Linked DNA regions of Bombyx mori. The protein of the gene in region 2 interacts with the protein of the main gene of each other region in a biochemical or structural test. Links are inferred from orthologs where the notes say so. Each region holds a gene or a part of one and is shown on either strand. Other genes may lie near its edges.

Region 1 (10,879 bases), on a different chromosome or scaffold from region 2:
AAATTCTTTTTTCGGATGAAAAAATTTTTACCGTAGAAGAGAGCTACAACAAACAAAATGATAAGGTGTACGCACACAGTAGTGAAGAAGCGAGCAACCGTATTCCGCGTGTTCAACGAGGTCATTTTCCATCCTCGCTCATGGTATGGTTGGGAGTTTCTTATTGGGGCTTAACAGAGGTACATTTTTGTGAGAAAGGTGCAAAAACGAATGCAGTTCTGTATCAAAATACAGTCCTGACGAACCTTGTGGAACCTGTTTCTCATACCATGTTCAATAACAGGCACTGGGTATTCCAACGAGATTCGGCGCCAGCTCATAGAGCGAAGAGCACACAAGACTGGCTGGCGGCGCGTGAAATCGACTTCATCCGGCACGAAGACTGGCCTTCCTCCAGTCCAGATTTGAATCCGTTAGATTACAAGATATGGCAAAACTTGGAGGAAAAGGCGTGCTCAAAACCTCATCCCAATTTGGAGTCACTCAAGACATCCTTGATTAAGGCAGCCGCCGATATTGACATGGACCTCGTTCGTGCTGCGATAGACGACTGGCCGCGCAGATTGAAGGCCTGTATTCAAAATCACGGAGGTCATTTTGAATAAACTTTAGTGTCATAAGAATCTATGTTTTTTTAAGTTCATTTTGGTATATGAATGGTTACATAATGAATAAACTTGTTTCAATTATTTTATATTAAACATGTGACAGAATTTATGACCTGACTAGGTATATAGTATAGTATATTTTCATACAAACTTTTCGAATTTCCTGTATTGGGTTGAATGATTTGATGGGTCATGGTTGCCATTAATTATTATTATTATACTGACACACGACGCAATTTACAGTGGACAGGTGTAATGTATACAATTTGGATATTTTCAGAGTTCCAGATGGTATAATATTATTTAAAAATTGTTACAATTGATTAGCTTTGTAATTTTTAACAAATTCAATTTATGTATTAATTTATTTAAATTACTGACTATATATTATTTGGTCAATACTATGCATATTCTTGCCAGTTACTGTATTGAATAAAGAGCTCTGGACTACATATGACCAAGCCCCCATCGCGCAAGACATTACATTGGAAATGGCGTAGGATAGGACAGACCCTACAGCGCAGCAGTCAATGCAGTATCAATCGTGTTTGAGTAGCAACCGTGTGGCAGGAGAAGACCTGGTCGCCCTGTACACACTTGGCGACGCATCATGGAGAACGAGACGAGGTCTGTCGACGTGACCTAGAGTGATGTCCAGAAGCAAGCACAGGACAGGGGTCAAGTGGAGACAACTTGTGAAGGCTTTATGTACCAGCGGGGTACCCTATGACTACAACAACAAAATATTATTTGGTATCATCTATCTACATATGAGCAGTAAATAACATAATAATATGATGTGAACTTGATGTAGTAATCTCATTATACAGGTAGAGCTAAAGAAATATTTTTAAACAAACCTGATGAAAGACATACAGTAACATGAGTATGCTTAGATAGGAGTATGAAGGTCCAGAGTCACCAAGCAGTGTTGGTGTGAAGGCTACAAGGGCTGCCGCTAGAGGACCAACCAGTAGCCTCAATGGGAAAGCCTTTAACCAAAGAGACAGTGGGGCTGGTCCTGTTGTGTGTTTAGCCAAAATCTGTAATTTTACAAAACTTTTACTGCAAAACAATCAAAATTTATAGTATATTGAAGATCATTTACATATTTTGGTTAAAAATCAAATTTAGTTAAATCAGGGATATTAGATAATTCATTTATTAATCAATGTATTAAATAAATAAAAAATTATGTGTCAGGAAATCCTCCGAAATGAAAAATGGTTTCAATAAATTATTACATTACATAAAATACTTATTATATCATATGGCAATTTTTTATTTATTGCATAGATGGTGGACGAGCTCACAGCCCCCCTGGTGTTAAGTGGTTACTGGAGCCCATAGACATCTACAACGTAAATGCGCCACCCACCTTTACATATAAGTTCTAAGGTCTTAGTATAATTACAACGGCTGCCCCACCCTTCAAACTGAAACGCATTTCTGTTTCACGGCAGAAATAGGCGGATGGTGGTACCTACCCGTGCAGACTCACAAGAGGTCCTACCACCAGCAATTGATCATTTATTGAGAAGACAAAAACTAAAAAGTAACGATATTCATTCAAAGAACTTGAGACTACTTACAACTGGCATTATGATCTGTACTGGTACCAAAGGTACAGCCAGTAAAGCTAAATCTTCACGTGGGACACCGGCTTCAACAAGCTTCAAGCCTGATACTGCATCTGCCGCACAAAAACCAAGCTGAAACAAGAATATGCTAAAATACACAAATAAGTAAAATCATATCTATTGATTTAGTGAATCTATCCATTTGAAGTTATTCAATAATAAAATGTTTCTTATAAAACAATTAAGTTATATTACATATTTTACATGAATTAAATGGATAGTGTCTTAAATCACTTTGGATTTCATTTAATTAATTAAAATATTTCTCACCTTAGCAGTGAACAGAACCAAAGCTAATTTACGCACTGCTGGTAATTTCACAATTGTATACAACTGTTTGTAAGCACTAACAATATCATTTCCTCCCTTCACCTGACCACTTGCACTGGTATCATTAGCTTCATGTTTAAATATAGCTATGAATGTAGTCGTTATAATGAAAATCCAACCCCAAAATAGTAGAAAACTTGACAGAGTCACTAGTCCAGTCTCCTGTGGTTCTGTTCGTAAATATTTGTTGCAGAAATATGGAGACTCGAGAGCCAGAAACATTACATATCCCAAAAAAAACCCAGCTGTTTGGCCTACTGTATTACATGTCGAGGCATGTCCAACATTACACCTGAAAATTAATTCATAAAAAGAATTACAATTCTTAATCAAATCTTACATTCAAATTCCAAATCTGTCAATTTCATCTTTTTATAATATTTATAATTAAGCGATTGTCATACCTTTTCAACATAGTCAAAGCCCAGCCATCAACAGCAATATCTTGTGTGGCCGCTAAAAAATTTAATAACAGAAAAGATACTGTAAGTATTGTCATTGAAGGTGGTTCCCCATCAATTCCCAGCCAATCTGTGACACAATATGATACTATAATCATTACTATTCCAATCAAGTACTGGACGGGTACAAGCCAAGTTTTTCTTCTTCCAAATTCAGGCCAAAACATTGCATCCACTATAGGAGCCCATAATAGTTTTACACTAAAGGGCCAATTTACTAAACTAAATTCAGCCTGAAATTTTAAAACGGATATAGTTGAAATGCAAAATATTACCTTTTTATTATAAAAAAAAATTCTTTAGAATACTGACTTGTTGCGTGTACGTTATGCCTTTATTTTGTAAAAGCATTGGGACAGCTCCAGCTAATCCCAGTGGTATACCCTGTAATGTGTATAGGAACAACAAAACAGCTATGTTTAGTTCATCCCCTTTAATGTTACTTCTTCCTTCGTTCGGCGCGTCTCCGTTTTCAATCAATTCCTCATTTTCCGGTGAATTTTTGCGCTTTGTTAAAGTCATAATTGCTGCTCTTATAGCCTAAAATACATCACAAATGTTCTAAAGTGCCAATGTTGAAAAAACACGTCAGTAGAATTTACTCATTCCAAACCTTAATGTTTGCTGTTTTGAATCAAGACCACACTGAAAATAATTTTTTTTTCTTAAAAACTGACTAAATCAATTATTTCATTCACCATTTAAAATTTTTAGTACAGTTTTAATAAAAAAATAACTATTTATTTAATATTAATAATCTGCACGATTACCACGTACATAGTAGCACATACGTACCTAATATGAAAATTGAAATTGATTTGATGAATGAAACATAGTATTACAGGTAGGTTTCGCGTATTAACTAGTGTATTATCTATGACCATGTTTCTTTTTTGGAAACTGACATCTCTTAGTGATCTGTGGCATTGTAATTTTTTGTTTGTGTGATTCGTCCATTAAACATGCAAAGAGAACGTAGCCAATACAGAAATTCTACCCGAAGTTGTTTCCACTTTATTAAGCCTTATTATTATCATCTAATCTGGTGGTACGACCTCTTGTGAGCCCACACGGTACCACCACCCCGCCTATTTCTGCCGTGCAGCAGTAATGTGTTTCGGCTTGAATGGTGGGGCAGCCGTTGTAATTAAACTGAGACTTTAGAATTTATACCTCAAGGTGGGTGGCGCATTTACGTTGTAGATGTCTATGGGCTCCAGTAACCACTAAAGACCAGGTGGGCTGTAAGCTCGTCCATCCATCTAAGCAATAAATAATAAAAAATAAAAAAATCCGGAAATGAAAAAACGTGGGGCCAAATTCAGCGAGCCTCCGTCGTCTTATCCTAAGCAGCTAGAGATGAGTTATACTAGGTGAATCAGATACTAGTATTTGATTTACCACAAGCTCCTAATTTTAAGAAATACCTAATCCATAAAATCTTCCTAATATCATTCACAACCAATACTTTACTAAGCAAGCAATCTCAATCTGCCTGTTCCTAATCTCAAGTTCTCAGTACGTTATTAGGATTTTAAGAATACGAAGGTTAGGTGGAAAAGGTAGATTATACATATTGGCAAAATGGGATTAGGTGCAGCCTAATCTCGTAAAATACCTAATACTTGGGTCTGTTCTTGTAAATCTGACCCATCTCTATAAACAAGAGTCACTTACTGTCACTTAATTTTTTTTAAGGGATTTTGTGACCTGGTAACTAAGACCTTTAGGTCAAATCTTATTTTAATTTTAATAAAAACTTTTTTACATGAAAAATGATATTATGAAATGAAATGAAGTTGATTAATATGAAACATGGCATGAAATGAAATGAGATGAGATGATATGGGATGAAATATAATCTCAGTAAAATGGTGGTCATTTACTGAGACTGTTTCAGTGGACTTTTTGGAGGATCCCGAGAAGCTACGTTCAGCGGCTTTGTTTCATTTTCTCATATTTGTGCACTTTCACAGATACTAAACAGTTAAAAAAACCACCTCTATTACATATTAAACCTGAAGAAACACTAAATAGACAAAATAAAACAAATCACACAACTTCACTCCTCGCGTTCCCGCCAACAAGTCCTGTCACTTTATGTCATTTGTCATAGATAATACACCTAATTTAATTTCTAATTTTTCAAAAAATCTATACCTAAATGTACTTAAATAAATCTGCGAGCCTTTGAACCTATCTTGTTATATATTATAATATTAAACCGTGTTAAGTACCAATTAAAAAAAATAACCATGTTTGTTAAATATGCCATACAAAAGTTAAATTCATAAAAACTATGTTAAACGCATTATTCATGCTGTACGTACTATTATCATGTCTCGTTTATGCTTTTTGAGATGTTTGTTAGATACACATGCGCCTATTAAACTTCCTCACAACGTACAAATAATTGTAGGGCGCAATAAAGAAACAAAAATTAAGGATCAGTCATGTTCTAGACAGCAGCGTAAGTGATAACTTCAATTGAGAAACCCTATTTATTGTGCCAATGCATACTTTGCTGAACAAGCTTTATTGCAATATCTTGAATAATTTTCTTTTACGTCAAATCATTGCATATTTTTTAAAATTATTTGCTTAGATTAATTTACATACTTTAAATTTTTATTTATCCTACATAATTTCGCGTTGATAAATCAAAATCTTAAGTTGATACCTACCATAATTGTGTTCTACTTCTTCTAAATGCTTGTTATTCTTCATTTACAGTAAGCTTAAAAGCAGATTGTGAAAAATGTCATGTAGAGATAAAACAACTAGGGGTAAACGCTTCTGGGTTAGATGGTTTTGCTCTTAAAAAAGATGAAGTGTATGAAATTGGACATGGATCAACAATTGAGATTTTATTAAACAATCATGTGCATATACTTGAATTTGATCCACCTCCTGAAAGCCTAACTACCTCACAGAATCAGACATTCAAAAGGAAATTGGAAGATGACAGTACATCTCAGAGAAAGAAATCATTAAAAGTGGAACAAGTGTCATCAAGTGTAAAAGAAAAAGTTGAAAAAGTTATTAGAGATATGTGGGATGAAATAGACAAAGGTGAATTGTATGTGTTTACAGCTAAGGGAGTGAAATCTAGTGACAAAATAGCATCTTTTGATATGGATGGAACCCTAATCAAGACAAAGTCTGGTAAAGTTCATCCGGTGGACATAAATGACTGGCAAATAGCATTTCCTTCAGTGCCCCAAAAACTGAAAGAATTTTTAGAAAAAGATTACAAAATTGTGTTATTTAGCAATCAAGCCCCTATTGGTAATGGTAGAGTTAAAATAGAAGACTTTAAAAAGAAGATTGAAAGTATTGTCCAAAAATTAAATGTGCCAGTACAAGCATATATAGCAACTGGTAAAGGGATTTACAGGAAACCTAGAATTGGAATGTGGATGACTTTGACTGAAAAGGTATAGTTTGAGTCTGTTTAATCTCATATTTATGATTAAATTAAAGCATTAAAGCTGTCTTGCTATAAGAAATACAAATCTCTAATATTTTTAAGCCTTCACTTAATTTGGGCTTAGCCATTTTGACAGAATTGGTAACTACATAAACCTATAGTATACTGACCTAAAAGAACTAGGCATATTATGAATTTTATGTTAATTTATTTTCTTTTACAGAAAAATGATGGTGTCAAAGTTGATATGAACCAAAGTTTTTATTGTGGAGATGCTGCAGGAAGGGTGGCAAACTGGGCCCCTGGTAAAAAGAAAGATCACTCCTTGGCAGACAAACTCTTTGCTGAAAATTTGGAATTAAAATTTTATACTCCCGAACAATTCTTCTTGGGACATTCTATTGCTAATGTGCTAATGAGTAAACCTGAGTTTCATCCTAAAGAAGTAACTGTAGAACCTTTTAATAATAAACTAATTAGCAAAGATAAAGAGGTTAGTCAAACTTCATTCAAATATATTTTAAAATTGTTTTTTTAATTGGATTTTAAACAAAAGACATTCTAAAATAATATACAATACTGGTGTTATTAATTGCTCTAAAAAGATATTAAGGGTTATTGGAACTCACAGACATCCTATTGTGAATGCTGCCACCTACTGTGAGACGCTAGGTTAATGTCTTTGTTTGAGCTGCTTTGGTTAAAGAAATCTAAAGTAGTCAATATATATATAATTATGCTTAACTAAGCAAATAAATGTTGTTTTTTGTTCAAGTTGGAATCACATTATTAGCAGTTTTGGCTAGAAGTTCCAACAATAATGGTTCACTCTCTTTCAACATTTTGAAACTTTATTTTTACTTGAGGTTGAGTTTTAAGTTGAGTTTTACTGCAGATTTTAAATTGATGAAATATTTCAAAGTTAATCAAAATATTGGTTTTGCAAGTGTTCCAGAAACCGAAAATGCATACCTTAATTTAAGCAGATATATATATTTAGTTGCGAATCAAGTATCATTTAATAGTGTCTCATGCAAATGAAATTTACGTTAAATTAATAAACGTTACACAGTGAGAGCACTTATGAAACTGATGAAGTCCTGCTGCGACAGCAATACAGCAATTCCTACAGTTGAGCATTTGGAATTAGCGTTCTTGTGTTCTTTGCTTGTAGACTGTACAGCCGTGATTGGCCCACGTTTATTTCCCAAATTTTATTTCAGACCCACAGCACAACCCCTGTCCTCCTATTTTTCTGAAAAGGTGATTAGTCACCGAGTAATGGGTAGCAGCATTCTCGGACCTATTATACCAGTACAGTGCGATCTGTATTTCGACATTTATTATTTATAGAGCATTTTGTGAGCCACCACGCATGAGTATATTATACTGTCTATTTCTGCCATATAACAGTAATGCGATCCGGTTTGAAGAGTGGGGAGACCCATTACCCAACACAATTGAGACTTATACCTCACGTCCTACGGCAGATAGCGCCATTCAATACTTAACACCTGATGGCCAGTGAGGTTGACAACAACAAAAGAACGATAAAAATAAATTTCGTTATAACGTCGTTATAAAAAAACTTTCGTTATAGATACTAATTTTAGTTGGATTTCCTGGTAGTGGAAAATCTTATTTGGCAAAGCAGATTGAAACTAAATCAAATCACAAATATGCGACTGTGTGCAGAGATATTCTAGGCTCATGGCAAAAATGTGCTGCTGAAGCCACAAAATTGTTGCAGGTAAGTCAAAGTTCGAAGGCAAATAAATATAATAAGCTTACTTACTGGTAGTAGGGTATTTTATGAGCTCGCCCAGCGTAATTCTGCGGTGAAGCAGTAATGCGCTTCGATTTGAAGAGCGAGGAGTGCTATATTTACGACTCGTATCTCAAGATGGGTATTAGGCGACATTAACTTGATTGATATCTATGGGCTTTAAGAGAAATTTAATGAACCATATTTTCAGGCAGTCTTTATGTTCATTATCACCAGCTGTCCACTTTATCATTATCAGTAATAATGCAATTAACAAATAGCATTGTAATATTACAATATTGATTGAAATTTTAATTGAAAGTCTTATGGACACAATCAGATAACATTTTAATCTAATTGAACGGGTAATAGGTTGTGATTCGTATTGACTACATTAAATTTCATAATTATGATATAGTCATTTTAATATTTTATGTTCATTATTATCAAGGTTTCTTAATTAAGAATTTAGTATATTCTTAAATGAGGGTAGTTTTTTTTTCGAAAGTATATGTGTGATATGATTAAAGTTCTTTATAATATGTTTTGTTATTTAGCACGCACCCTGTATCCATAAAGAGCTTTATGGATTTTTATAGATTTTGGAATATCTTTAGCTTTGTCTTAATTGGGTGTTTTTTTAATATGTTTTAGTCAGCCGTACACCTGTCATTAATTAATATGTGTAATGGTATTAAAAAAAGCTAGGAAATCATTTCCAGATGACGTATTGGTAGTCTAGTAGTAATTCTATTTTCCAACAGGAAATACGAAGGTATCGCACCATATATTATAGCTTATTATTTTATATATTCTGTTATATAAAAAATAATGTAGTAAAAAATTATTTGGATGAAATGAGGTCAAATTTACTTATTTGAGATTGTAATCAATTGGGATGAAATTATATGAAACGGTATGAGATGAAATGAAATAAAGTCTGTAAAATGGTGGTTATTTACAGAGATTTTGGTGAACATTTTGGAAGAACTCGAGAAGCCAGATTTTACGACTGTTTCAAATTTCCACATTTATACACTTTCACAGATGTTAAACCGTGAATAAAGCAACATACGTTTAAGCCTGAATAAACACACCAAATTAACAAAATAAAACAATTAACATAACTTCGCTTCTCGCGTTCCCGCCAAAAAGTCTCCCTGGCAGTATAGTATATAACCTCTTTATAATAAGAAAATGTCTTTTTTTTGCAGCAAGGAAAAAGTGTCATAGTAGACAGTACGAATCCGGATGTTGAGTCTCGTTCCCGTTGGACATCACTCGCAAAACAAAATAAAGTAGATTGTCGTTGTGCTAAAATGGCTACTTCTAAGGCCCATGCGCAACATAATAACAAATTTAGGGAACTGATGAAGATCAATCATGTTCCTGTTAACGATATTGTATTCCATACCTACAAGTGAGTGCATTACTGTTTAGCTAACTCAAAAAAACACAACGCCCACTGAGTTTCTCGCCGGATCTTCTCAGTGGGTCGCGTTTCCGATCCGGTGGTAGATTTTGCGAAGCACTGCTCTTGCTAAGGCCAGTGTTCAGTGTTGCCAGATGACTGTGTGAATTTCCCCCCAACTTTTTTCGAAAACCCCCCGAAAATAGGCTTTTTGAAGAAAAAGACCCCCAAAACAGTCTTTACTTATTTTAAAGAAGAAATAAAAAACCAAAAGGATTCTTTTATTTTTTTATCAAGCTGTCCCTTTAACTTCAACCATCTCTAAACAATTATTACAATCAGATTCACTTTCGTTATTATTATTTAAAGCATACACGTTTTCGAAGTTAAAGATATTTAACATGTCCGATGTGGGAACAAAATTTATGGCTCTATTTGGCAGTGAAAATCGAATCCTGAGAACCGCTTCGGCAGTTTCTATTGCCATTTGGTCGCATAATTTGTCCTTTATAATATTGACTTGTGAATAGTATAGTAGACTATAATTATTCTAATAGTAATTGTGAACTGTGTTTGTGGATGAATTATTGATACCTACAAAACCTCCGAAATTTCTAACTAACTTTTTCCCCCCAAATATCCCCCCAAAGAATCTTTCCCCTGTGCCTACTAGCTCGATGAATCTAAGTTACTAGAATTTGTAGAAAAAAAAAACAGAACTCAAATGTTCATTTTCCATAGACAATCGAAAACACAATTTGGTAAAGAAAACTTTTTTAATAACCATTTTTTCACAACAGAAACAAGTTCACTGAACCGTCACCAAACGAAGGTTTTAAAGAAGTAATTGAAGTGAAATTCAACCCGTGCTTTGAGAGCGAAGAAGCTGAAAATTTATATAGAATGCATTTGTTAGAGAAATAAAGTACTTACCCAAAATATTAGATATTTTTTTTTTCCACCCGGTGTTCGACTTAGTATCAGTTGAGTTATTCAAATATAGTTTGATTTCTTTACAGTTTTTGCATATACATATTTCGTTGCAACTTATACTTACCACTGTCATGTATGGGATGAAATTAATCGTATGAAATAGGTTAAAATAATCATAAACTTGATTTAAAAATAAAACCATTTATTCGAAGACAGCGAGTTTTTATTGCGATTAAGTTTTAACAAATAACTTAAAACTACTATCATTTGATTTATTGTATTATAATATGTAGGCCTATTG
Region 2 (10,821 bases):
CAATCATAGAGGAAATGTGACAATCATGAAATTTTTTAACTATTTTGAATTAATATAAATTTATATAAATATAAATATAAGAATATAAATTTATTGCTCTTGTAGGCAGACGAGTATACGGCCCATCTGATGGTGAGTGGTTCCCGTCATCCATGGACTTCAGCAATGCCAGGAGCAGAGCCAAGCCGCTGCCTATCGTTAAGTACTCTCTACAAGCCTCGTTTGAAGAAGGGCATGTCATATTGTTGTGCCTGCAGCACGAGCGACCTGCAGCACGCGCCCCCCGTAGGCCCGCAGGTAGCGCCAGCAGCGCGCCCGCAGTTGTGTGTCCCCGGCCTCCACCGCGAACGTTACTCCCTCAAAGAACGCCGGCAGCGACTTGCTGTCGTCTATCTGGAAACAATACTTAATATTTAAAAAAAAAGTAATTTTTTTTTTTTTTTTATTGCTTAGATGTGTGGACGAGCTCTATTACTAACTAATCCGTTAGTAATAGAGTGTACGTGCCGCGTGCTCGGCGCCGCTGTCGGCCCCAGCGTCGGTCTCGTCCGAGTCCGACTCGACCGCGAGCGACGCCTTGACTCGTTCGTCGCACACGAACTGCACGTCGGGCTCGCCGCTGCCCCCCCTCGACCCTGTCGCGCCGGCGGGGGGGCTCGGCGCCCGGCCGCGGTCCCGCACTTCCTCGTCGGTGTCCGCTGACTCGTCAGTTTCTGGACGACAAGTAATTGGTCAAAATTACGTTTTAATTACATTTTTGCCTAATTTGTAGGCAGCAGCTTGGCTCTGCCCCTGGCATTGCTGAAGTCCACGGGCGACGGTAACCACTCACCATCAGGTGGGCCGTATGCTGGTCTGCCTACAAAGGAAATAAAAAATAATAATAATAATTAATTTTGTATTGTGGTTTAAAAATATTGGTAGCGGCGTCCGTCTGTTCTTATTAATGAATGAGCAATCGAACTGTCGGCGTGGTGCGTGAACCTGCAGCGTGTGGTGGTGCGGTGCGCTGGTGCGGCTCCGTGGCGTAGGGGCGCCAGGGCACGCGGCGGCGCGCGCGGCGGCACGCTCGCAGCCAGTCCGCGCGCACGGCGGGCACGGCGCCGCCCGCCACGCGCCGCACCTCCTGCAGCTTCGGCGTGTTGGGGAACGCGCATCTGCCGGCGACACGACGCTGTACTCCACGTGGCACAACGGACATTACAACATGTCGGGAGGTCGGAGGGCACGTACATGAGATGCGTGCAGGCGGGCCCCCAGACGGGCTCCCAGCGCGCCCCCAGCGCGACCCCCTCGCGGCGCAACTCTTGGCGGAGCGGGTTCTGGTAGCCGCTCAGCACGAAGCGCACGCCGCGCAGCACGTCCGCTGCGACACACGCGACTGTAACATATACTAATGACACCAGCGGTCAGGTGTGGAGTGTAGCGGCCCGGGCGACTCACCGAGCTGTCCCCGGGGGGCGGGCGCGGTCCCGGCGCTGTCGTCTCGCTTCACCCGCTTTGCTCTCGATGATATATTGTCTATATTTTTCTGGACTTCTTTCTGTGATCACACAATATGGACATCAGTATCACCCCTGATGACTAATACAGTATAATAGGATAAGCCTTATTTGTCTGTTCGTCACCGCAAGCCGTGAGCCGGGTCGTCGAAAGGCGACTTACGGACACTGGGTACCGCCGTCTTGCCTATATCCGTATTCCAGTTTATAAACGAGAAGGCTATTATACAATACAATTGACATTTCGACCTCACGTCTCAGGCAACATTCGCGTTGTGAAGTCAACGGGTTGTTCACCGCGGGTTGGCCCGTCCTTCAACCAAATATATATTCCCGGCAACAACGCGACAGGCGTTCCGCGCCGCTTCCGCCGCTCCTGCATCTGGTGGACAAATCTAGCTCACCGGGTCCCCCGCGCTATTGTCATCGGTCATCTTGTCACCCTTATGTCTATTAACGGTTTGGTCTATTTTTGCATGGTGTCTGGTGTCCTCTTCATCGTGCATCCGAGCGTCCCCGTCGCTGTCGGAGCGGCGCCGCCCGGCCGGCCTGTTCTGTTTGCTCTGTCGGAGTGTGGCCGCCGCGCTGAGGCCGGGGGAGGCGGCGGGGGAGTCCCCGGGAACGTTGCGGAGCGCGCGGGACGTCGCCTTGTGTATTTGGGATTCTGAAAATTGTATTCTGTATGAAAGCTGCGAGACGTACCCGCAGTTAAGCACTCGTCTAAAGTTTAAACGGAAATAATATTAAGTTAAATAAAATTTATATTGTAAATAAATAAAATTATAGAGCAACCCCGGGGCAAACACCGACGTGCCGCGGCCCCCGGGTGCCGGCGCCGGCCGGGGCAGCCCGGGGCGACAAGCCGTTCTACTGAACCGTGTTTGAACTTCGTTTCCTAACTGACTAATATTAGGTATTCATTTATAAACATTATATCCAAGAACATGAAAATTGTGGTTCAGAATTGGCAGCTGTTGAATTATCGACCTTATTGACAACACCGCTCAGTTTAAAACCTATTTACCTGTACTCGCCGGGCTGCTAGTTTTATCGTCCCCCAGTTTCAGCGGACTATCCTTCTGGGTGTAGTATTTAGCGAATAATTCCCCAGGTTTGAACTCTTCCTCGTCCGACGAGAAGGTGTCCAGGGCGAGGGGGCGCGGCGGCGCGGGCGGGGGTCCGTCCCCGGGCTCGTCGATGTGCAAGAACGAGAGGCCGAACTGAAAGGTTATATTAGTTTGAAGCCATGAACAGTTTTATAAAAATGAATATGTACTCTTATGAATATCATCAATAGCATCTCTGCCAGGTCTCGCGAATCGAAGACACAGCAAAACTATTTTTATATCCTAATGTAACAATTTTAATTCATCCTCATCAGCCTGCGGCAGTCCACTGCTGGACATAGGCCTCCCCCAAAACTCGCCACTGAACCCGATATTCGGTTCTACGCATCCAGTTACTGCCAGCTGCCTTGCGCAGGTCGTCACTTTATCTAGCAGGAGGACGTCCTACCCTACGTTATTTTAATGATGTTTAAAAAATTTAATTATGTTTTACTATTAGCGATCCTCATGACCGCGGGTTTTAGTAGTGTTTAATACTTATTATATATTACTTATAAAATATTAGTTAGATAGATAGTTATTAGGGCAACCGGGGCGCATGGTACCTGGCAGTGCCTGTTGTAGGGCTGCGCGCACACGACCCGCAGGCGGTCCCAGCGGCGCCCCCGGGCCGCGGCCGCCAGCTGGTCGCCGCGCCACGCCCGCACGCGCTGCACGCCCTCGGCGCGCCGGGACTCGCTGGGCGACAACATCACGCTGCTGGGGACCAGTACCTGAGCATGTCTCTCCGGTCACTCCACTGTCAATATCTATGTTTGAAAGCGACGGGCAGCAGAAGCAGCCGGGTGCCGGGATATGCCCTACATGATCCCTTGAGTTTTTCAATCCTATTTTTATTCTTATATAAAATTATAGACCCTGTTATTCATGGTGAAGACATTTGTTGACATCTTCAGATATGATGATAACCAGAGTAAAGCTACATTTTTGAATGTAACCTTTTTAGTGATTCCAAAGTACACTATTATTTTAGAAGCCTCCATATTTGAAACTGTTCCCTCCTAAGCATCCTAGATATTCATCAATTACAAGACCCCTAATGCAAAGTTCCCTAACAGTTGAGTAAACATACCTCAAAGGGTTCATCAGGTTTTTCAGATCTTCCAACGAGCACCTCCACAGTAGCAGCATGATGCACACCAAGATAGACTGATGATATCTGATTTTTAAGATGTTATTGGTTTTTTTGCCAGGTTTACTTGAGGAAAGTTGAAGTCATACACTATATAAGAAAACTATCTTGACTATTGTCTATTGATATATCATTATTATATCCACAAAGAAACCCATTTCCGAGTACAAATAATCAAAATATACAAAAACTATAGAAAAGAGTGATTTAGAACAAGGTATAGAACTATAGACCAGATTTACATTTCAGCATGCCCTTTTTGTATCGTAGGTTTGTATATCAAAATTACAAATATGAAAAAATTTAAGATTTTAATAGATCATGTTTGTTAAGAGCTTGCCTGGACTGCCTTGGCCAGCTGAAGTACGACTGAGCAGGAAGACTCTCCCTTGCAGCACAGCCATTTCTTCTTGTTCACTTCCAATGCCAACAGATTGTTAGCTGGGTGATCCTGGTAGAGAAGCAAAGATACTATTATGCTATACATGTTACAAAGAACATTACCCAAACCCTTTTTTTCTCCTGTGTTATGGATGGCAGAACACATTTGAGATGAAAATAAGTATCTCCAGACCCCAAATAAAAGAATTGAATTGTGGTATAGTTGTAAGTAAACACTAAAGCAGCAGGTTACCAGGGGTAAGATGTAGTCTAATAACATTGATATTATGTGGGCTTAGAAAAAAAAAAATTATATGGCTTAGAAATTTTTGAATTTAAATTAATAAAACTGTACTATATTTTTATTAATTAGGGTTCTACTGCATGCTCATTAAGTACAAAATAACTTTCCATTACATTTATGATAACTTTATTTTCAACTCTTGATTCCCATTCATACTTTGCTGTGATCAAATATATGAAATTGACTTTTGTCTATATGACATGGATGCCATTGTGTAGTATTTTTTTGTTACTGTTACTGTGTTAGTTCTTTATTTATTTATAGCTTAGATGGGGGGACGAGCTCACAGCCCACTTGGTTTTAGTGGTTATTGGAACCCATAGACATGTGCAATGTAAATGTCGCTACCTACCTTGAGAGATGAGTTCTAAAGTCTCAGTTTTTATAGTACAACCACTGCCCCACCGTTCAAACTGAAACACATTACTGCTTAACTGCAGAAGTAAGCAGGGTGGTGGTACCTACCAGTAATTACGCAAATTATAATTTTGCTGGTTTGATTTTTACTATACGATTACTCCGGGCAGAAGGTAGATGTATCGAGCAGTTGCGGTTTCTTCTATAAATCGAGTTTAAAAACAGCCACATAACATTAATTTGGATCCAAATGAGTTCATCAACATTCCTCATATAGTTCAATTTAAATGGCTAAAGAGAGAGGCCTGGTTTATAAAGTGAGACTAGTTTGGTGCATTTTGAATACGACAAAGGTATACATTATTTAAAAATATCCGATGACCTGGCTTACTGTCATCATCATATCGTTACAATCCCGTGCTTCGTGGTGGGCGGTGGGTAGGGCTTAGTAATTTATCATCCGGGAACAATCACTTACGATCAGGTAGGCATGTTTCAAGCAAAATTTAAAAATTCAACTACGGTTTCAATATCACTCATTGGTTTTTGTCAATTAATAGGTTAGATTATGATTAATATCAAAACTTACAGGATCCTCGCTGCTGAAGCTAACGACGTAATCAATTTTCACGCGCGGCATAGCGATACACCTTTATTTAGGAACATGTAATAATTTGGCCCTATAGTACTTGATAAAGATAATTGTTTTACCCTTAACGCACATTAACAATAAACGGTCACTTATGATGAGTTATTTAAAAAAAAAAAAAATTTTTAATAATTTATAGTTGGTTCGTTAAATTCGGTCGAAAATCGAAATTAAATTATTAATATTGTTTAGAAAACATTGAATTTTTTTTTCTTCATCCGTCGGACCGGTATCGTGGATTTACCTCATACAGCCAAATCATTTAAACGAAAAGCCCCAAGCCATGTTTGTGACATAAAAAGTGATGATAATGATGTTATTGCTTCGATTGATAGGTTTAATGAGGACAGAAGGTATGCTTTTTACTTTATTGAAAAGATAGATTTAGTTTAAACGCGTTTAAGCGTGGCTGTTCTGTGTTTAAACGTGTAATAATATTAATGAATAGGCTTAATAGTAATTTATTATCTGTGCTTCAATGTATAAATAACGGTATATTAACGAAAGCCAAATGCAATTTATAAAGAAAAAACAAGGAGAAACTTTTGTTTGATAGATACTCGTTTATTATATTATGCGTGTAGTCTATGGTTACTCGTAGGTCGTTACTCGTTAAGTACACAATAAATTTTAATTCGCATCTTATTTTGCATTTCCTTCTTACTTTATTCTTTGATATTTTATTAGAATTTAGGTTTTTGTAATGGGAAACTTACGTTTAAGTCTAATAAAAGCTGTGAAAATTATTAGACTTTGACCTGATGTGGCATGCACGTTGTTATATCTACAGGTTCCCCTAACCACTTAATATCAGGTCTTGTCTATCTAATATAAAAACGAAATAAAATTTAGGCGCGTGAATAAACTAATTTGAATAAATAAATAAAAATATTATTATTAAATTATTGTATATTAAATTATTATTATTATATATTGAATAAATGACTTTTGTCAGAACGACATTAATAATATTGTAAATGATAAAAGTGAACAATATCATTTCAAGCACGCGAGGCGCGGGCTCCCGTCCGTGACTGCGTCGGACTCACGCGACTCCTCTTCACTCTTCCACTTCCGATTGTTTTTAATCGGCATTGGCGATGAAAGTAAAATTTATAACATATTTGCGTTACAGTATGTGGAGTGGAACTTTTTAGTTTTTCTATATCAAGAGGATAATGATATTATTATTCCATTTATTTTATTTCATAAATAGATATTTACGAGCTATGTGCTAAAGTTGTAGACTTAGTAGATTGACATAACAATTGAATAAGCCGAGCATAAGTCGTAACCTAGTTTTTTTTCTGTCTAGGTACGTTACAATCAAAAGTTATAAATTATTTTTTAAAATATGCACACATTTAAAACGCCTTAAACTAGCTAAGGTCAATAAATGTAAATTTATTTACATTGGTATCAGACTGTTACGAAACTAAATAAATCTCATCACTATTTATAAATTAAGTAATTTAAATAATATTAGCTTCTCGTTATCCTGTGTTTGTGCACGCGTATGATGACGGGTGATTCCGTAGGAATTTTTTTCTTTGGCAGTATCTTTCGTTTCTTGGTAGGTTTTTTGTGGTAAGAATATCCTCCGAGCGCTGTAGGCTGAGCGTACAATATCGTCGGAGACGACTCTTGGCTTGAATCATATGAATTGTGATGAGATTTTAGGTACGAGTATGGAACGGATGATGAATATAAACGTCCAAGGTCCGTCTCAGCAGAGAGCGTAGATTCAGCGTAAGTGGGATATTCGTAAGGACGCGGACGTGGATACTCTTTATGAGAGAAAGATGTTTGTGGGTATTCCACGAAAGATGGTCTTGTGTGTGTAGGAAAGTAGAGCTTGGAGAAGTCTGGTGACGTAAGGGAAGAGAAGTCAGACGAAGAGAACGTTTTCCCATAGAAAGAATTTCCCTGAGAAGGTCTGTTGTATTGTGACGAGGAGAACGAAGGTGTACTGTAATGAGTATGGTAGCTCGGCTTGGAGTAAGCCGAATGATGTTTGGACGCGGAGTGATGGAGGTCTCTGTTGGGTGCTGAGAGAGGCGACGGAGACAACACGTGAAGGACCGGCATCGGCGGGTGCAGTGGAATGGCGGCGAAGACATATGGCTCGTAGTCCTGGGAGAAGTCCTTGGCGTAAACACCATAATTACTGCGTTTCTGGATAAAATCTTGAAGCAGCTCGGAGCGCGCCCAGCCGCAAGCGAGCAGTAACCACGGGATCTGTGACGATAAGTATGCTATTTACAAATAATTTGTATTCTTCAATTTAACCAAGCCTTTGTACATTTACTGAAGCCCACCGGGTACTTCGAAGTCCATCTAATTAATGCATATTTACTTGCATTGTTTTTTTAAACAGATATCCTAGTTTATCTTCCCAAATTTGAATTTAGTAATGACTATTTGTAAGATCGCCTTCATAATTACCGTTAATTTTTCTAAGTATTTAATAGTAACTTACAATGTTGTCCATGTCTGTGGTCCGGCCGGCTGGTCGACCTGAAGGCAACTGTGCCAGCAACGAGTGTGTATCGCGTATCCACATTTCAGTTACAGTACAGAGCTTGGTGCATAGCTGCATGGAGGAAATAGTAAGTGTGACAGTGTATTGCTTTACTGTGCTCTCGTGTCTGTGTCTAATCTATAGTAATAGAAAAACACAAATAAACTTAGATCGGTTGGTAAAACTTAATGAAATATCTATGTTGTCTTCTCTTCAAATCTTTGTTAGAGTATCAAGTCTCATATTTTGTACCCAATTTAGAATTCTCTTATTAGAATCTGTATTTGAAGTCAGTTAAAAATGGTGTAACCTAGATTTGTAGTTTAAATTATTTGTAATAGATTCTATTTTGTTCATTCTTTAAGTGTTTATCTAAGATGACCCGCCTGTTCTTAGACGGTTTCAGCAGCTCATAGCAGCATCAATGCCTCCGCTCACTTTGAGATATTCTAAGTCTTCAGTTACGGTACAATGGCTATACAGCTTCTAGAAATTTTGTTGTAGCTTCTCTTTATAGTTCTAGATACATGTTTACATTTAAATGCATGAAGTTGACAGCGCTGTAGCTAGTTTCCTTCCTCATGCTCGTGCTGGAAGGCGGAATGACGTAAAAACAACAAATCAAATCGTAAATTGTCCGGTTTTATAAAATAATGTTCTCTCATTAACAGCGGAAACGTTTTGAACCATTTAGTTGTGGATGAATATCCGAACCCATTTAAAAGGAATACTCGTATTTCCGTATAAAAATAAAAATGTCTAACGAAGGCAGAAGACGAGGCATAGCGCTCAGTGAGTGATCGACATCGCTCATGAAGATCATCTATGGCTGATGCTGAGTGCTCTTCTAACACATTGTTTGAAGGGGACGCTACGGCTACTCCCGTGGCGCTATAGTAATGAGTTGATGAGGTTTATCACAAAAAATACCTTAGAGCACCAAATGAATGAGAATCCCTCAATTTCCTTTGAGTAGACTGTGTGACTTACACAGAACGAACCGAGGGTCGGAGGTTCCACGTGCGCCTTAGAATAGAGTAATCCGTACGACCCTCTTCTGTATTAACCTGTTTCTGCAATAGATGTACTGGAGGGTCCTGGTCCAGGGATGAGAGTAGTACTCCACGCATTGCCGAACCTGTGCTTTGCTTTCTTTCTTTCGCTCTCTTGAGAACTCCCAACATTTTAAAAGTCAAAAGTCAACATTTTTACTGGTGGTAGGACCTCTTGTGAGTCCGCGCGGGTAGGTACCACCACCCTGCCTATTTCTGCCGTGAAGCAGTAATGCGTTTCGGTTTGAGTCGGCGCATTTACGTTGTAGATGTCTATGGGCTCCAGTAACCACTTAACACCAGGTGGTCTGTAACCTCGTCCACCCAGCTAAGCAAAAAAAAAGTCAAGTTGGTTTTCCTTCCAAATGACTTCGAAACTGAGCACGGCTCGAGAGAACGCGCCGGGTGTGGCGGTTTCTAATTAACGGAGCCACTCGGCGACTCCCATACACTGAACCAGGGGGTTCGAGCCCGCCCGGAACAGAACCGGGAGAAGTATGTAGTTGAAAAGTGACGTTAGCAGTGATGCATTATTAGGTGTTAGCGTTAATGAACTGAATCGAAGTTTCTACAATAGCATATTACGTACAATTGAATATATTAATATAAGTAGCGTGCAGTTCCGAGCGTTATGTTTGTTATCAATCAAATGTTGAGCACGTTGAGTGCACATCCGTTTTTTCGTCGTAGATGGGTGGACGACGGACGTGCTTCCTATTCACAGGCGGGTACTCTTGAGGAGAGTAGTCGTGGTCTATGATGATAATCAGTTTCGTTTCGTACTACAGTCAAACCTGGGTAAGTGAGAACTGGATAAGCGAGAAAACTCTATAAGTGAGAGTAATAGCCAGGACCCGTCATTTTAAGCTCCCAAAACCTCTATTAGCGAGAAACAGAAACCTCTGTAAGAGAGAGTCGTTTTTCCCTCACGGACCTCCGTAAGTGCGACTACTACTTATCTATACATCTATAAGCGACAGTCGAGCTTTATTTATTTATATTATTTAGGAGGAACAAATGACAAAACAAATTACAAATTTAACATCTGCTATTTTATGACTCATTCTTAACTTTCGTGGAACTTCCTATCATTGTTTTTGTAAAGTTTTCTCATCAATATTGAACCTATTCTATTTCGTGGAACTAAATAACGTTGTAATTTTATCGCATTCTTTTCGAATGGACACGTGTGCCTGTGTACCGTCCTGTTTGTCGGACTTACTCAGTTTATCGTTAATGAATTGCGAAGGAAAGTTCTGTTCTGCATCATGTTAAAACGGAAAATTAAAGTACTGTCATTAAGTGATGAACTTAAAATAGTGAATGCGTTTGAATCCGGAAAATCGCGAAATGAAATTCAGAGGGTGCATCAGCGAGAAACTTGGGTTAGTGAGAAACCTCTATAAGCGAGAATGAGATTGTGCTCCCTTGAACTCTCGCTTATCCAGGTTTGACTGATCCTACACCGGTTATGTCCCTTTGACGCGTATGTCCGGGGCTTTATTTGGTCAGTTCAGCGCATGGAAAATTATCTAGGAGATCGACAGCCATTGACTCGGCCCTAGATGACAAACCTATTTAAGAAATTCTCTCCACGTCCTGTGACTGCAGACGCACTAGATGCACCACTAATTATTCAGCAGGTCCGGAGCCATGGACACGACAATAGCCACCTGGAGACGGGAGCTCGAAGTTTCATTAGACAGACGACTATCCGGCATCACCCTTGAGGGAATATTATTAAACAATTTAATCCTCTTCCGCTTGTAGAAGTTACCAGCTGGTTGTACTAGTGG

What was found. The genes of interacting proteins can lie anywhere in the genome.
Region 1: the proteins of DNA repair protein XRCC1 (region 2) and uncharacterized protein F21D5.5 form a complex in vitro, tested with the Homo sapiens proteins (3 studies listed by BioGRID and IntAct, with this or other methods). The link is inferred for Bombyx mori from reciprocal best matches to the Homo sapiens genes XRCC1 and PNKP.

What each region holds. Positions count from the first base shown.
Region 1 is NC_085114.1:7,136,920-7,147,798, reverse strand, and holds uncharacterized protein F21D5.5, read left to right. Parts: upstream 1-5,098; 5' UTR 5,099-5,376; coding exon 5,377-5,509; intron 5,510-5,772; coding exon 5,773-6,476; intron 6,477-6,692; coding exon 6,693-6,962; intron 6,963-8,069; coding exon 8,070-8,219; intron 8,220-9,448; coding exon 9,449-9,654; intron 9,655-10,445; coding exon 10,446-10,569; 3' UTR 10,570-10,584; downstream 10,585-10,879. Other genes in the region: acetyl-coenzyme A transporter 1, read right to left, coding at 1,469-1,651, 2,201-2,320, 2,519-2,870, 2,983-3,272, 3,352-3,561. UniProt on the Homo sapiens protein: Plays a key role in the repair of DNA damage, functioning as part of both the non-homologous end-joining (NHEJ) and base excision repair (BER) pathways.
Region 2 is NC_085124.1:494,805-505,625, forward strand, and holds the start of DNA repair protein XRCC1, read right to left. Parts: upstream 5,897-10,821; 5' UTR 5,444-5,896; coding exon 5,393-5,443; intron 4,213-5,392; coding exon 4,102-4,212; intron 3,789-4,101; coding exon 3,702-3,788; intron 3,343-3,701; coding exon 3,175-3,342; intron 2,723-3,174; coding exon 2,527-2,722; intron 2,167-2,526; coding exon 1,907-2,166; intron 1,544-1,906; coding exon 1,444-1,543; intron 1,382-1,443; coding exon 1,234-1,381; intron 1,158-1,233; coding exon 985-1,157; intron 714-984; coding exon 508-713; intron 394-507; coding exon 268-393; exon of another isoform or gene 262-267; intron 1-261. Other genes in the region: uncharacterized protein LOC101737274, read right to left, coding at 6,935-7,690, 7,932-7,943. UniProt on the Homo sapiens protein: Scaffold protein involved in DNA single-strand break repair by mediating the assembly of DNA break repair protein complexes. Negatively regulates ADP-ribosyltransferase activity of PARP1 during base-excision repair in order to prevent excessive PARP1 activity.